Linked DNA regions of Arabidopsis thaliana. Each later gene encodes a partner of the first gene's protein in a complex. Each region holds a gene or a part of one and is shown in the gene's direction. Other genes may lie near its edges. The genes, in order: COP9 and CSN6A.

Region 1 (7,881 bases):
TCGACTGAGTGATTACGAACTCAGTACTCAGTGTTCTCAGCTCACACACTCTTTTTTTGTTCTCTTTCTTTTGGACAGCTTTCATTTTCTCTTTTCTTTTTTCTATTTTGTTTCAAAATTCCATCCATATTAAAATAGGCCTGATCATGAGAATAAAGGAAATACTAATGATGAGTTTCTCAATAATGCAATAAGATGCAATTATTATGAGCTATTTACTATTGAAAATGAGCAAATAAATGTCAAAACACAATCTGGTTAAGTTAGAGCAACTCCATTGTATAGGATTCATGTAGTTTCTAAGAAAACAAAATGTATTAATATTTTACTTTTACATCCAAAAAACCAACTTATATGAGTAATAGAAACGATCCTAATATTAGGAATTTTAGAGATTTTCTCTCATCTGTTTCTTAACTTTTCAATATTTTTATTTTTTAAAATTGTATGAGTTTCTACTAAGAAACTACTGCTGGAGTTGGTCTTAGCTTCCCAATGCTTCTCCACCTATATATATGCATATCTCCTTCTTAAAACTCATCTCACACCAAAACACAAAGCTCTCATCTTCTTTTAGTTTCCAAACTCACCCCCACAACTTTCATTTCTATCAACCAAACCCAAATGGGTCCAAGTTCGAGCCTCACCACCATCGTGGCGACTGTTCTTCTTGTGACATTGTTCGGTTCGGCCTACGCAAGCAACTTCTTCGACGAGTTTGACCTCACTTGGGGTGACCACAGAGGCAAAATCTTCAACGGAGGAAATATGCTGTCTTTGTCGCTGGACCAGGTTTCCGGGTCAGGTTTCAAATCCAAAAAAGAGTATTTGTTCGGTCGGATCGATATGCAGCTCAAACTTGTCGCCGGAAACTCGGCCGGCACCGTCACTGCTTACTACGTAGCGTTTTCAAACTCACACTCACTCATAATGTTGCTAAAACTGAAGAGACTCTTTTCTAAATTTGTTTGAACGTACATGTTTGCAGTTGTCTTCACAAGGAGCAACACATGACGAGATAGACTTTGAGTTTCTAGGTAACGAGACAGGGAAGCCTTATGTTCTTCACACCAATGTCTTTGCTCAAGGGAAAGGAGACAGAGAGCAACAGTTTTATCTCTGGTTCGACCCAACCAAGAACTTCCACACTTACTCCATTGTCTGGAGACCCCAACACATCATGTAAACATCCATCGATCTATTTTCTCTAACAATAAGTGAAAGACGTAGATCTTGACTCTCTTGTTCTTGTCTCTGCAGATTCTTGGTGGACAATTTACCCATTAGAGTGTTCAACAATGCAGAGAAGCTCGGCGTTCCTTTCCCAAAGAGTCAACCCATGAGGATCTACTCTAGCCTGTGGAATGCAGACGATTGGGCCACGAGAGGTGGTCTAGTCAAGACTGACTGGTCCAAGGCTCCTTTCACAGCTTACTACAGAGGATTCAACGCTGCGGCTTGCACAGCCTCTTCAGGATGTGACCCTAAATTCAAGAGTTCTTTTGGTGATGGTAAATTGCAAGTGGCAACCGAGCTCAATGCTTATGGCAGGAGGAGACTCAGATGGGTTCAGAAATACTTCATGATCTATAATTATTGCTCTGATCTCAAAAGGTTCCCTCGTGGATTCCCTCCAGAATGCAAGAAGTCCAGAGTCTGATGAACACATATTACCTCATATTTCTCTGCTTGTTTGATGCAATTCTTAAATTCCTCTGTTATTCCATTGTACATTGTCAAGATCAATAAAGCATTCCTGGTTTCAAAATATAAAACAACTGAAATTAAACCTTTAAAGAGACTACTATTGTCTTTCACTTACCAATAAAGGACAATCAGAAAAATATGGAGACATAAGAATCAACAAGTCTAATGCATAGGTACCTCTAATGTTTTCGTTTCAGTTCTTTGACCTACAACTACAAGTACCTAGATGAACAAGCTCTGTGTAAACAAGTCAAATACGCTTAAACCCTATATACATGACTTTGTTACTAACTGATTAACACTAACAGCTAAACTCAGCTAACAAAAGTTGAGTTTCTTGCTCATTCTTTGGATCAGCTAGTGGCGTCTCAACGTTGTTAGAGCATGTATCTAAATCTGTAACTTCATTTGATGCCCCTTTAGCCTCAATAGCTGAAGCATTCTCCTCTATATTCTTCTGAGGATCTGTATGCGTGGTTTCAGGAGTTCCTAGAAGAACAATGAAAGAAAAGAGACATCAATTTCTAAGGCTACCAATTCTGACTTTATAATTTCAATACAAGCTAATATCATGCATTTATACTATCTTACAATTTACCAAGCCACAGAAGACAGTATTATTATCTGACTAGTACTGACATTGAATTATACCGTGTGCTAAACATGAATATAAAGAGACTAACCATGATTATCCTCTGAGTTCTCTTTGAGATATGAAAGCATTCTTCTGTAATTTACAGAACCTGGCACTTTAAATAGCTTGCGCCGGCAGCACAGCTGTTTCATGTCACAACAGGGAAAATGTCAAAAACAGATTCTTAAATAAGGAACAAGACTGCAGCTTCTTAAAAAAAAACAGATCATACAGAAATTTTGTTGCCACTGGATGAAGTCATCTTCTTGAAAGGGCTATTGTTTCCATGAGCTTTAACAAAGCTATTGGCAGATACGGTTTCAGGAAGTCGGTAATTTGCTGCCATCAATTCACCTCTTTCATCCTTAGGATCTTTTGCATCACCATCTCGGGTAACATCTGCAGCTTCCATCAAGTAAGGAAGCATTCTTCTATAGCTCACAGAGCCAGGGTTCTTGAAAATCTTTTCCGGATGACGAATCTGTATACATATCACAAGAAGAAAATTAAGCAACCAACGAAAAGCCAATATTGTAGTTTAAACGCATCATTTGCTATAAAACCATGAGTAAAAAACATACCACTTTGCTGCCGAGATTGGTACCAACTTTCTTCCCAGAGACCTCACTGATCTCTTGATTGATAGAACCTGCTTCATTTTTCACCAAAGAAAGCTCACCGGTGAACATTCCTAAATCCGGTGGCGTCGTTTGTGAGCATTCCACTACTTCTAAATCACCTCCAGTAGCCACTAATCCATCAACAAGATATTTGCTTCCTTCTCTCATAACTGTTTTCACCATTGTGTAATCATTATAGTTTCTAAACAGATATTGAAATTTCCTAATTCCACCTTCATTATATCAACATTCTCCTAAATTTTCTTAGAAAAACTTGTACAAGAAAAAGACCTTAAAATAAGAATTACCATTAGAATTCGGAGTATCGCAAGGAGATTCCACATTTAGCTCCTTGGTTAGATTTCCCCCTTTCACATGAAAGTCCCAATCACTAGAGATGGAACTAGGAGAGAATACGCGTCTGAGACACAGATTCTTCACGGTGACACGAGAACAAGTTCGGGGCATTTGAGTAACAATTTTCCCTTTGATCGGTGACGCATGATGGTGACGAAGATCCGTGACAATGTGAGACAATGGGGATGCAAATCGAACGGAGGAACGATTGCTCTGAGTTCGTAATTTGCTTGCCATAAGGTTCTGAGAGGTAGTATAACGAACTGAAGAAGACGAAAATCGCATCTTCTTCCTCAATATAGGATCTGATTCGGCCATGGTAGAACTCGCGCCAAGAGAGAGCTACAGAGAGAGAGAGAGAGTGTGTGTGAGAGTGAGAGAGACTGTTTGTTATTTTGGCGGGAACAGACCGGGTGGCTTTATGATGTTTGGCGGGAAACTAAGGCTTAGTGGGCTTGGCCCATTTATCCTCTTGTGTTTGGTCAATTTTTTGGTCGGTTTAAGTAAACCGTATTGAAAAGATTATTAAAACCTGTAAATCTCACAGAATTTATTTTTCTTTTCCCTGGAGTGGTTTTGGGAGTAGAATTGTCATCTTCGCAAAAGCTTCGAGAGTAGTGCAATCGAAACAAGTCATGGATCTTTCGCCTGTTAAGGAAGCTTTGGCCGCCAAATCCTTTGACAAAATCGCCGATATCTGCGATACTCTCATGCTTCAGGTTCGTAATTTCTCTCGCTGTCGTTGTTTCTGATGTTCATTAGGGTTTTGTGAAGTGGATTTTGTGGTGTTAATCGTTCGATTTATCGCTTCTTAATTTTTTTTATAGGTTGCTTCCGAAGGAATTGAATATCATGATGATTGGCCTTACGCAATCCATCTTCTGGGTTACTTTTACGTTGACGATTGGTGAGTTTATTTTCTTCTTTGATGTATTTGTTTGCGTTGTGAACCTAAAGTTAGTTCCTTTATGAAATTAGAGATTGTTTCGTTGAACTCTTGTGAATTTTAGCGCGTCAAAGTTGTTCTTACTACTTCGATTGCTAGGTCCTAGGTTGAATCTAAGGTCTAAAGTCTGCTTTTTACATTACCTTGTTTCTATCCAGTGATTTGAAAAATTAAAACTTGACACAAGTTAGTAGTTGTTGAGACCCATTTAACATTTTTTTCCTTTGTGTATTGATAGTGAGTGTAGTATGTTGAAACTATTGAGTTATGGTTGTGCCTTCTTGACTATGGATTTGGTTTTGATGTTTTGCTGTGCTTGTTTGGAAATACTGCAGTGATAGCGCACGTTTCCTCTGGAAAAGGATACCTACAGCTATCAAGGAGAGGAAGCCTGAAGTTGTTGCAGCTTGGGGGATTGGTCAGAAGCTGTGGACACACGACTATGCAGGTGTATATGAAGCTATTCGGGGTTATGATTGGAGTCAAGAAGCTAAAGATATGGTTGCTGCCTTCTCAGGTAAATTTTTTCTCTGTTTATGACTTCTTAGCTAGTATGAATTGGTTTCTTGAACTAAGCTTGTTGATTGCTTATGTAGTTGTGTACTTTTATTACTTCATATCCCTCTTTAGGTTTTGAGCTTTGATATACATATTGAGATCGAATAGTTGTTTTATTGTTTTAACTTGTGAGGCCTAGTTTAGGATTTCTGTTATGCACAGAACCACCTTTCATCTTATCATTGAACTATTGGAACTCGAATTTGAATCAAATTTCATCAATGTATGTGCCTTATCACTTCTTCATTAGAAAGTAGTTGCTTCTGTGGTCTAACTGAGAGAGAGGTAGGTAGACTCACACAGGAGGAACGAGTAAGCAGTTGACAGACTTTTCCAACCAAATGTCTAAACGTTGATCTGAATTTTGTGAAGTTGTACCTTTTTCCACATCAATTGTTCAACACCTGACCTTTATGGGTCACTTTCCATCAGATTCTAATTCTATTTCTGAATTGGTTTTGTTGTAGATCTTTACACAAAAAGGATGTTTCAGCTTTTGTTGTCTGCCTACTCCACAATTACCATCCATGATTTAGCTCTTTTCCTAGGGATGACGGAGGATGATGCCACAACTTGTAAGCTTCTTTCTGCAATTTCCTTTGCTTACAAAAGATTAAGTACCTCATTTCACATTTCTATTGAATTCTACTGAATTGATTCTTATATTGATACTTTTGAAAAATGTCGAAGAGTTTGTGGCAATGTCTTAGCTTAGTGTTATTGTAGGCATGAATCTTATGACAACCATATATGTTACGGAATCAGAATTAACAGTATAATTGTTTTCTTTATTGCTGGATATATACACAGATGTTGTAGAGAATGGATGGACAGTGGATGCAGCTTCTCAAATGGCGAGTGTGAAGAAACAAGCTGTTAAAAGAGAGCAAAAGGTGGATTCATCGAAGCTACAACGCTTGACGGAGTATGTGTTCCACCTTGAACATTAAAACTAAGTGCCGATCTCCTATTAAGATAGTGAAATTCTAAGAACAGAATTCGTTTTTGAGAGATTTCACAATGACTGATTCTAAGTTGCAACATATCTTGACTCTTTGAGTATATGATGAATAACTCCTACCAATTTTACTCTTATAAGATCAGTTTACACCAACAGGCGAACTAAAACAAACATTTAAAAGATCAGTTTACACAAAAGACGAACTGAAACAAACAAAAGATGAAGTCAATATTATGAGCCAAAAAGGACACAGCCTAAATAACACACGTTTTCAGAACAAAATTAGGCAGAAACAAGAGAAGATCATTTTAGCGACTATAACAAGCTAGCCAATCTCTGAGATAAAAGATGATAATCTTCAAACCGGAGAGGTACTCTAGAAGAATAGGAGCCATTTGTCGATCTAGTAGATGACAAGCTGGGGTTATCAGAGATTAATAATTCTTAATTTATTATTAAATTATCGATAAATGAACAATTTTAAATTTATTGAGAGATTTTACTATTCTTTTATAATTTTTAAAACTGGTTTATGTGAAAAGCAGTTTTTGTAGTTATAATCAACATCCTTTTAAAAATAATGAAAAATATAAAAAGTAAATAATTATTAAGTCTAGAAAACAAAAAGAAAAAAAAATTGATACTGTAGAAATATTAGAAATAAACTCTTCAAAAGATTAATACAAATTTTAAAAAACAAATATTAGTAGGAGTAATAGTTAGAAATACTCAAATGTAAACATAAATTTGTATTAATCTTTTATGTTTACGATAGGTTTTGGTGAATCGATAATTTGTTCATATTCCCTATCCCGTGTGTTTTTTGTTCATATTTTACTCTGTTATATCAAAAACCTAAAGCCTAGATAGTCTCATTTCTCAAGACTGATCCTTTTGTTAAAATCATTTACGCTTTGTGACTTGTGAAGAAGAAGATACATGCATCCTCTGCGCGAGTGAAAAAAATCTCACCTCTCAGTTTAGATTTTCCCACCAATCTAAAGACTGAGAAGGAAGACTTGTTGGTCCCAAATCATTTGTAATTGAATATAATAGTAACAAATTCAAGTTTAAGAAACTCTAAAATGTCTGTTTTAAAAAAGTGAACATGTCAAATTGAAAATCAATTATATAAAATCAAATGACATGCATTTTGGTTGAAAGAAAAACAAACTTCTCCATAAAAAGCCCAAAAACAAGCTAAAAAGAAAGCCATAAACTAAAAGTCTAGGGTTTTGGCGACATTTGTGGGTTTCTAGGGTTTTGGCGACATTCGTAGGTCTCTAATTCGGCGAGAGCACATGTCGCAGTTTTCAGACTCTAGTGATGACGATTCTTCAGGCACCATCCCAGATTTGAGGGTTGATTCTCTGGTTGAAACCTTGAAAACTCTTCTGATGAAAAAAAACTGAAACACTGGCCATGAAGCTTCTTCAGGTCGTTCAAAATTTCATTTTAAATCTGCAAATATGTTTGTTTATGAGTTTTTATATAATATATCTGTTTTACTGTCTATGTAATGTGTGAATCTGTATTTTTTTTTTTTATCTTTTGTTGATATAAAATATATGGATTCCCGTTTTTTGAGTCCACCACTAGAGACTAAGAGTATCTCCAACAAACACTTAAACCCTCAAATTTGAAGGTTTTTTGAACTCCAATAAACCCTCAAACCCTTATTTTTTAAAGGTCACACCCTCAAAAAAATTTTCTATTTCATTTTCGTCCTTATAATTTATATATTTTATAGATAGTTATATTCAAGAGTATTTATAATAAATGACTATAGATTTGAAAAGAATGTACAAACTAACCTTGAGTCACAGTATCTTCTCGGAAACATGTTGGAGAACACGTGTAATTACGTAAATGTCCTTTGTAACATGTTATTTTTCCGAAATACAGGCGATAACATAATATCCTCTTTTTATCTTGTTATTTTCTCTTATTACATAGTATTTGTAAAAAACACATGATATTTTTTGGAAAAAACATTCTATTCAGTTTAATATCTCTTTTTATCATGATATTTTGTAGTAATACACGTTTTTTATTAAGATCACACGTGATTTCTTTAAAAATATATTCTTATTTTTTA
Region 2 (8,403 bases), on another chromosome or scaffold:
ACTCATCGTAAGCATTTGCCCATGCATCAGCTGAACTATCACCCACGGGACCTTCAGCAAATTCATCTATCCAGTCATCAACATTCAACTTTGAAAACTCATTAACCCATTGGTCCTCGGCTGTTTCTTGCTGTCCTCTCCCGGAAGCAAACTCATCAGCCCACTGTTCTGGTCCATGTGAAAGCTGTAACACACCAAAGTAGAAGCTTATGTTAGATGCAGGGTGATGCGTCTTATAAAAGAGAAAAAAGAGATGATACGTTGTCAATATACTTTCTAACATGTCAGGACTTCAGATTCTGTAACTATAAGGAACCATTGGAAAAATGTGCAAAGAGAGATCTAAGCTGAAGCCTTTCCACTATAGAGAGGTTACAGATATAAAATCACGAGATTACTAAACCTATCATCATGAGCTTCAATTGCGGATACAAAGGCCATCCAAGACAAAGGTATACCAATAAATCAATTACATTAGCATGCTAAAGTGGCAAGTAAGACCCTAAAGTGAACAGATACTTCATTAAATAAATACATACTTTCTCATTTGCAAATTGATCAGCCCAACTTGGTGGCCCCAGATACTGCTGTTCATATTCAGTAGCCCATTCCCCGGGGGCTGAAGCTTGCTTGACCTGATTCTCATCAATAATAAGTTCACCACGGCTCATCTTGGAAACAAACTGAAGGAATCTTGAATTCTGCATTCACCAAACATGTTTGCCAAGTTTTACATAAATCGAGAACAGCTCAGCACATGAAGTCAACAGGAAAAGCATAATTAAAATTTGTGATATGATTTCAGAGATATTCGAATTCTAGAACATAGACCAACAAAAAAAAATTCTATGTTCAGTAAAAGATCACAGCCCAGAAAAGAGATATGTCGTCCAACAGTACAGTTTACAGCAACCTGACCGACTGATACTACTATCAAAGGCTGTTTAGAAATGAAGGAATTCACTTCGAAAGCACATAATTATTAATGGTAGGTTATACTGACCTGAAATTTCGGATTCCCATCTTGAGATAGTGTATGGGCAAGCTTACGAGTCTGCTCCATTGCAGCTATATTTTGCATATCCATACTTCTCATTTGGCTTGACATCAATTGAGATTGACCCTTTAGAAAGTTCAAGAAAATAAAAAGGATGAGGCGCCAAATATTTTCAGAAGAACATGATAAATTATCAGAAAGCCAAGCTGTTGGGATATCAAATGCGACTCAAACACTGATGACTAATACAGCATAAAAAAAGTCACAACAGATTCAGGCTTGTGAACAACTATGCCCTAGTGACTATCGAAATCAAAGTCTACACTACCAAAATAAATGCCCTCATAATGTCTTTGATACTCATTGAAAGCTTATAAACATATGTTTGGGATGGGCAATCAAAGAGAAGTTTCAAACAACTGAAGGAAAAAGTTTCTATCATATAGCTATTTATGCTAGTTACCTGCTCGAACTCAGTAGCCCACCCATTCACACCATGTTGTTGCTCAAAAGACTGGACCCATGAATCAGGACCACCATGATCCATCCCATGTTGGTTAAATTCAGCCGCCCAATTGTCAGCAGGATGTAAATTAGGTTTCACAACAGCTTGAGACTCATTCCAGTAATCATCTAGCTCCCGAAATCTCCCGGGAACATGACCTCGAGCTTGTATCCCATCATCAATATCTAAAGATGACAATAATGCGTTTACCTTGAAAAACAATGCCGAACAAAATATTCAGCCAACGACATGGAGAAGAGAAAACGGCTTAGGCCATCGGCAACAAACAAAAGGCTTAACTATACTGCACAGCTGGCATGGTCTCGAGAAATCCATACTAGATAGGAACAATTACCAAGTAAAACAACAGCTATAATTCCCAAACAAAAGCCCTGACCCACAGATGATTGTGATATATGACAGTGACAGTGCTACCTCGTTGCATTCCAAAATGTTACATTTTGATTTAAACTCAAGATGAAGGAGAGTGGACCTGAACTTTCTTGTAATTACACTTCGTTATATAATTGAATAGATCTTGATTTCAAAAGGGCAATGGGCATGAATGATATAACACCAAAATATTAAGTATATACTCGACCCTTAAAACCTAAGTTGAAAGCATATAACACAATGTTGCAGCTACAGAACACTATCAGATAAATGGCAAACCTGAGAATTAATAAATTCCTCTCCCCTATCGGCAAAAAAATGCCGGGCCATTATGCTACTACGATCACGTATACATTGTTTGTCACTTTGTGACAATCCTAGAACTGGAACAGGTGCTGGACGAAATGGAATACCACCACGGCTACTCTCAACAAATGAATGCAGAAAGTTTGATAAAACTCTCTGTGGGGGTCCTGCAATATATAAGCAATGGAAAAACTAATCAAGCAAGCAAACGAAAAATGCCTCACTCGACATTAGGCTATATAACTAAGACAGAGCTATGAATATTCAACGTGTCATTCAGGAGAAATAGGACTCATGGAAAGAAATGACCACACTATTTATTTCATGTCGCTATACTAAATTACTAACTAACACTTTCAGTGTTAACTTCTCTTCCTACAAAAATAATGTTATGTACTTCTCGATTCAAGATGAATATGTGAAAATATATACTACCTTTTATTCAATATCAAAACCACTACATCTAACCGTTTTGTATCCGGGATTAAATAAAAGTGGTATAGATCAAATCACAAACCTTCAAATGTAGGCTGAACTGGCTCAAACATAGGTCCCATTGGAGGCATAGGTCCACCTTGCTGTACCTCATCCCAAGCTGCACCCAAACCATTCTGATCAACAGAGCGAAAACCACGGAAGAACTCTGACCCCTAATGTAAAAATTGCAAACCCATCAGCCATCACAGAGGCTAGATAATCAGAGTCAATACTACCATTGTAAAACCAAAACTTTCCACAACATTAACCTGAGCACCCGGTTGCAGAAGTGGCTGATCTAACTCAGAACCAGGAAGTGACCTTATCTGTTGGTCTTCAGAGTAAAATTGTGGCCGAGGACCTGACCGGTTTGCATTAGGTATCTCCTTGAGCCTTTCCTGCACAACAAATCACCAATCATCAACATTTCTTCAAATTCTCAGGAAATTTTAAACCTTTAAACAATTGTCAGCCAAATCACTTGACATAATCGAAGAACGTCTAAAACCCTAACACTACGGAAAGAAAAATCGAAACTTGGCAAGCAAATAACAAAACCCAACGAAAAATGAGATCTAATTCGACTTCTTAGTTCCAGGAGAACCAAGGAAAAGGCGAAGAATGGAATCAGGAGACTTCAAATGTCAACACTGTTTCGATCAAAAAGGAATCAGGAAGCTAACCTGGGTTTTGGAAGACGAACCAAGTAAAGCGTTGGTGAGAGCTCCGAGAGGATTAGAAGAAGAAGACGAACCAGGAACGGCACAAGCGGCTCCGCCGTTAACAAGGTCTCTCATCGCCATGTTTCCAACGGGTTTCTACTCCTCCGCCGCAATCACCGTCGTTGAATCTATCAGTATGGTTTCCTCCGTTGTCCGGAATTGATCATCAACCTCCCAAATCCTAATCTTTAGTTTGGCTCGTCTCGTGGCGGTGTTTTTTTTGTTTGTTGTGTTTGGTCACAGCTTCGTAAGAAATTATTAAATTTTTTGATAGTATTTTGGTAATTAATATTTATATATTATCCACACCACACACATTTTTAGGCTCACCAACACATTTTTGTTTAGTTATTTATTTTTGTGAAAAAACCGTTTTTTACAGTATCCGTAATTAAAAATGAATTGTTGTGAATATAGTTTTTTTTTATCTTTCTTTATCAAGATATGTTTTATCTTTTTGTCCGATTTGCTGCCACTTTTGAATTTTGTAGTTTCCTATTAGTGTTGAATTATATTTGCTTGATCATACCAAAGATAAATAAATTATATTGCTTGATTTTTGCTGGGTTTAGTTATATTTCTTGATTGATTGTGCAATGCGTTACAAACGAAGGTAGATTCTACTCTTGTACTCATATCACACATTTGGACGACCAACATGACTTCACTAATTTCATCAATAACTAAAAAAAAAAAAAAAATTCATCTACATCAACAATAGTTACAATATGCTAGGCATCTCTAGATTTTTTTTTCCTTTCATTAACTTGCAAGAATTTACACACTAGAAATCAAACATTTTGTGGAAAAAATTATAACCTTTAGTCTAACCACTGAACTATTGAACTTTCATATTGAAAAATTTGATGAATGTTGTCTGTTTTCAAATTTCTAGTACATTTTTTGTCAACTTCAGATATCTGATTTTATGAGTCTCAATCGTTTGGTTTATCTTATTTTCGTTTGTTAATTAATATAATTAGTTTCCAAAATGAAAAAATGTAATTGGAAAAACAAGTCATGAGGCCCAACCGCATATATAAGTCCTACGCTCGGCCCATACAGAAAAAACTAATATCCATATAGTTGACCCGGAAGACCCGATCTAGGATCCGAATCCACATTGATTTAAATAAAAAAAATCTTCATAAAAAAACTAAAAACCCAAAAACCAAAGAATTCATCAAAGGAGAGAGAGATCGACAATGGCACCTTCGTCATCAAGCGGTTTAACCTTCAAGCTACATCCTTTGGTAATCGTCAACATATCGGATCACTACACTAGGGTCAAAACTCAGCTCAATCCTCCTGCTTCAATCTGCGCAAGCGGCCATGGCTCAAACAACGGCGAAGCAATGTTCCAGCAAAACCCTAGGGTTTACGGATGTGTGATCGGTGTCCAGAGAGGTCGTACTGTTGAGATATTCAACAGTTTCGAGCTTTTATATGATCCTTCTACTCAAACCCTTGATAGATCTTTCCTCGAGAAGAAGCAAGAGCTCTGTAAGCTAAAGCTCACTCTTTTTATTCTCAACTATTGATGCAATCGTAAATTAAAGTTTGAACTTTTATCTGGTTTTATTGTTTATTAGATAAGAAGGTGTTCCCTGATTTCTATATTCTGGGATGGTACTCTACGGGAAGTGATGCTGAGGAATCTGATATGCATATCCATAAAGCTGTGAGTCCAATGCTCTCTCTAGTATTTTTGTATAATTGAGATTTGGTCTCTAAAAGTGTGGTTTTTGTGTCTGCTCTTGGTGACAGTTGATGGATATCAATGAATCTCCTGTTTATGTGCTTTTAAACCCTGCTATCAATCACACACAGAAGGATCTTCCAGTGACTATTTATGAAAGTGGTATGCTTCTTATAATGTCATATGGTTCTGTGGGTACATTCTGATATGTTAGCATGTTAGTATAGGTATATGCGTAGTTCAGAGTTTCTAGATATCTTCCCAAGTCTTTATCTTTATTGACTTCCAGATTTAGGTCAGATTGTTTTACAAGATCCTAACTTTTCTCTTTGTTTCATTGATTGATCTTCATTACTTGAAGAATTGCATGTCATTGATGGAATCCCGCAGCTAATTTTCGCTCATACAAGCTACACAATCGAGGTCTGTGCTTAAGTTTGATTCTGCAAATAATTTTTTTTTTTTTTGTCAAACATTCTGCAATTTAATCTATGTTATGAAAGTGTACATTGACTAAGATTTTGAGGTGTTATACAATGTAGACAGTTGAAGCTGAACGGATATCAGTTGATCATGTTGCACATCTTAAACCATCTGACGGAGGCTCAGCAGCAACCCAGTGTGAGCCTTATGTCACTAATACATATCATACTCCACTTCCTGAGTCTTACTGTTTTTGGCTGATTATTCGTTCATATGCAGTGGCTGCTCATCTTACTGGTATACATAGTGCCATCAAGATGCTTAATAGCAGAATCAGAGTGCTTTACCAAAATCTTGCTGCAATGCAGAAAGGTATATTCTGTTCTTTCCCAAGTTCCGATTCTTATCACCGTGGTTTCATGTTTACCAGTCCAGGATTCTAGCTGAAGATAGTCAAAGTTGTGTAAGTGTAATAATTTATCTGCCAACTCATTTATGTGTGTAGGTGATAAATCTTGTGACAACTCAGTTCTGAGACAAGTATCTAGCCTGCTAAGAAGATTGCCTGCCATGGAATCAGAGAGATTTCAAGATAATTTCTTGATGGTGAGTTAGTTAGATCTGCACTTGATTCTTTTCAGTGTAGCTTATTGTCTGAGATATTTCGCAACTTATGCTGGCATTTTTTCTTTTTGCAGGAGTACAACGACAAATTACTAATAACTTACCTAGCGATGATTACAAATTGTTCCAGGTTTGTACCTAATGCAACATTCTAAAGTATTTGAAAGCAAGTATATAGGCTAGCGAATGCTCTTTAACTAGTGGTTCTTTAGGAACTGTGAAAGATACGGTTTTCACCGGGCTGGTGGATTCTGTTATATCAGTTAATAATTTTGTTTGCTCAATCTGCAGCAACATGAACGAGATGGTCGACAAATTCAACACCGCATATGACAGAAACACTCGAAGAGGTGGAAGAACTGCATTCATGTAAAAGATCCTTTCCAGCGATTCTAGTTCTAAAGATCTTCTCTTGGTTCCTGAAACCATTTTTAACATTGCCTCTGTGAGAATCTATAACTCAGACGGCAAGACTTTATCCTCTTCATTGTTTCTATATCTATAAGAACATCTGCTTATCTATCAAAGCTCTTGTTTGATCTTGAACAAGTTTCTATTGTTAGTAAAAAGATTTTAAGGTTTGATTCTATCAGTCTCTCTAGTTACATCCACATCAGTCTCCAGTTAGCAATTGCAGTATTGCTACACAACACTCACTTTTTTCTTCTTTGTTGATTTCAATATAAGATAAAGAACCAGTAAAAAAGAAGACAAAACCAAGGAATGAACAATAAAACAGCCTTTACCTTCCCCAAAGTTTGAAACCAATAAATGAAAGAAGAAGAAGAAGCAGAAATTAAAAGTTATTATAAGGAGTGACCAAATGCAGAAGAAGAAGAAGAAGAGTAAATTTCAAATCTGAGGTAATCTACTCATGATCTGGTTATATACCGATTGTCCTGAATCTGAAACCGGTTCAACCTTTGGTTCCATCCCTCTCTGCATCATTGCTTCACTCATCCCAACCGGTTGTGTCATATACGGGTGAGGCAAACCCGGCATTTTCCCTTGACCATACGCTAAACCAGGCATTGAAAGATTAACCAAACCGGTTTGTCCTAAACCGAAGGAGAAACCAGAAGGAGGACCCAAATGTGGCTGAAAGCTAAAGGGACGGCTAAAAGGAGACTGATTGTTAGTTGTGACTTGTCTGTCGAATCTCCCACGTGGCGGCTCTGAGTGATGACCGTTGTGGTAATGGTGAGAAACTGCGGCTGAACCGCCGCTGTTACCGTTACCACTATCACCACCGCCTCCGTGGCTGCTGTTGCGTGCAGCGGGGACGTCATGGTTATGTTTGCCTTCGTAAGTTGTTATAACGGATTTGAGATCATGAGAAGCTCTTTCAACATGTTTCCTCACTGTACATCCTGGAGCTGTGCATTTGTAATAACTCCTAGAAAAACATTATGAAAACGTTATAAAAAAAGAATTGGTCTTGTGATTGCCGATAAACATATAAACAGAACCAGACCAAAACAGAGGAGGGGATTATAAAGAACCTTGGATTTGGATTGCCTTTGACAACTTTCTGACCATATTTTCGCCAGCGATAACCATCATCAAGAATGTCAACATCACTCGTTGTCTGCACAACAACTCTTGGCTCACGTATGGCTCTTGTTGATCCACTCATCTCTGCTGCAAAAGCTTCTAGTTTCCTGTAAAATCAAAAAGTTTTTGAGTCTCGTTTACTGAGTCATCGAGGATTCGGTGTTTCGATTGCTAAAACAAACCTTCTTTTCGACTCTGATTCATCTCCTTCTCCTCCCCCACCTCCTCCTCCTCCATCGTAACCCAAAGAAACACTTCCATGTGTCCCTCGATCATCTTCATCTTCATCATTAGAGAATGTTGAAGAAGCATCAACCACAACCACAGGATCACCTGACTCGTATTGACCTCCGGTTTGAGCTTGAATTGATCCAGATTGGTTTCCATACTCGAATCTCGTAGATCCCTCTTCGACATTGTTCTCATTGCTTCCACCTTGTTGTTGAGTGTTATTACAACTAACCCACGTTGCAGCAGAATCTCTCTGTTGTTGTTGTTGTTCAACTTGTTCAGTTCCATCTACTTGCATCCCTGAGCGGCGATTAGGTGGAGGTTTAAGATGATTATGAGCTCCTTTGTATATAATCTCTGTGATGTGACCTTCCCTTGATCTCTCAACTTTCTTCTTCACCTGACAATTCGGGTTTGTGCACTTGTAATAGCTTCGCGGATACTCACTTCCTTTGACCAACTTTTGTCCGTA

The links.
Region 2: COP9 (region 1) and CSN6A share a complex: the UniProt entries of both Arabidopsis thaliana proteins name them as parts of the CSN complex.

The regions. Positions count from the first base shown.
Region 1 is NC_003075.7:8,130,940-8,138,820, reverse strand, and holds COP9 (COP9 signalosome, subunit CSN8), read left to right. Parts: upstream 1-3,832; 5' UTR 3,833-3,953; coding exon 3,954-4,037; intron 4,038-4,145; coding exon 4,146-4,225; intron 4,226-4,599; coding exon 4,600-4,781; intron 4,782-5,289; coding exon 5,290-5,397; intron 5,398-5,632; coding exon 5,633-5,772; 3' UTR 5,773-5,941; downstream 5,942-7,881. Other genes in the region: XTH15 (xyloglucan endotransglucosylase/hydrolase 15), read left to right, coding at 625-900, 989-1,182, 1,261-1,660; AT4G14120 (uncharacterized protein), read right to left, coding at 2,009-2,196, 2,391-2,484, 2,574-2,822, 2,923-3,131, 3,270-3,636. UniProt on the Arabidopsis thaliana protein: Component of the COP9 signalosome complex (CSN), a complex involved in various cellular and developmental processes such as photomorphogenesis and auxin and jasmonate responses.
Region 2 is NC_003076.8:22,781,733-22,790,135, reverse strand, and holds CSN6A (COP9 signalosome subunit 6A), read left to right. Parts: upstream 1-4,530; 5' UTR 4,531-4,605; coding exon 4,606-4,903; intron 4,904-4,992; coding exon 4,993-5,081; intron 5,082-5,167; coding exon 5,168-5,261; intron 5,262-5,460; coding exon 5,461-5,522; intron 5,523-5,641; coding exon 5,642-5,720; intron 5,721-5,801; coding exon 5,802-5,894; intron 5,895-6,027; coding exon 6,028-6,128; intron 6,129-6,220; coding exon 6,221-6,276; intron 6,277-6,437; coding exon 6,438-6,519; 3' UTR 6,520-6,752; downstream 6,753-8,403. Other genes in the region: PEX5 (peroxin 5), read right to left, coding at 3-184, 540-701, 1,004-1,123, 1,461-1,712, 2,175-2,368, 2,719-2,851, 2,948-3,076, 3,362-3,481; WRKY2 (WRKY DNA-binding protein 2), read right to left, coding at 6,999-7,542, 7,649-7,807, 7,883-8,403. UniProt on the Arabidopsis thaliana protein: Component of the COP9 signalosome complex (CSN), a complex involved in various cellular and developmental processes such as photomorphogenesis and auxin and jasmonate responses.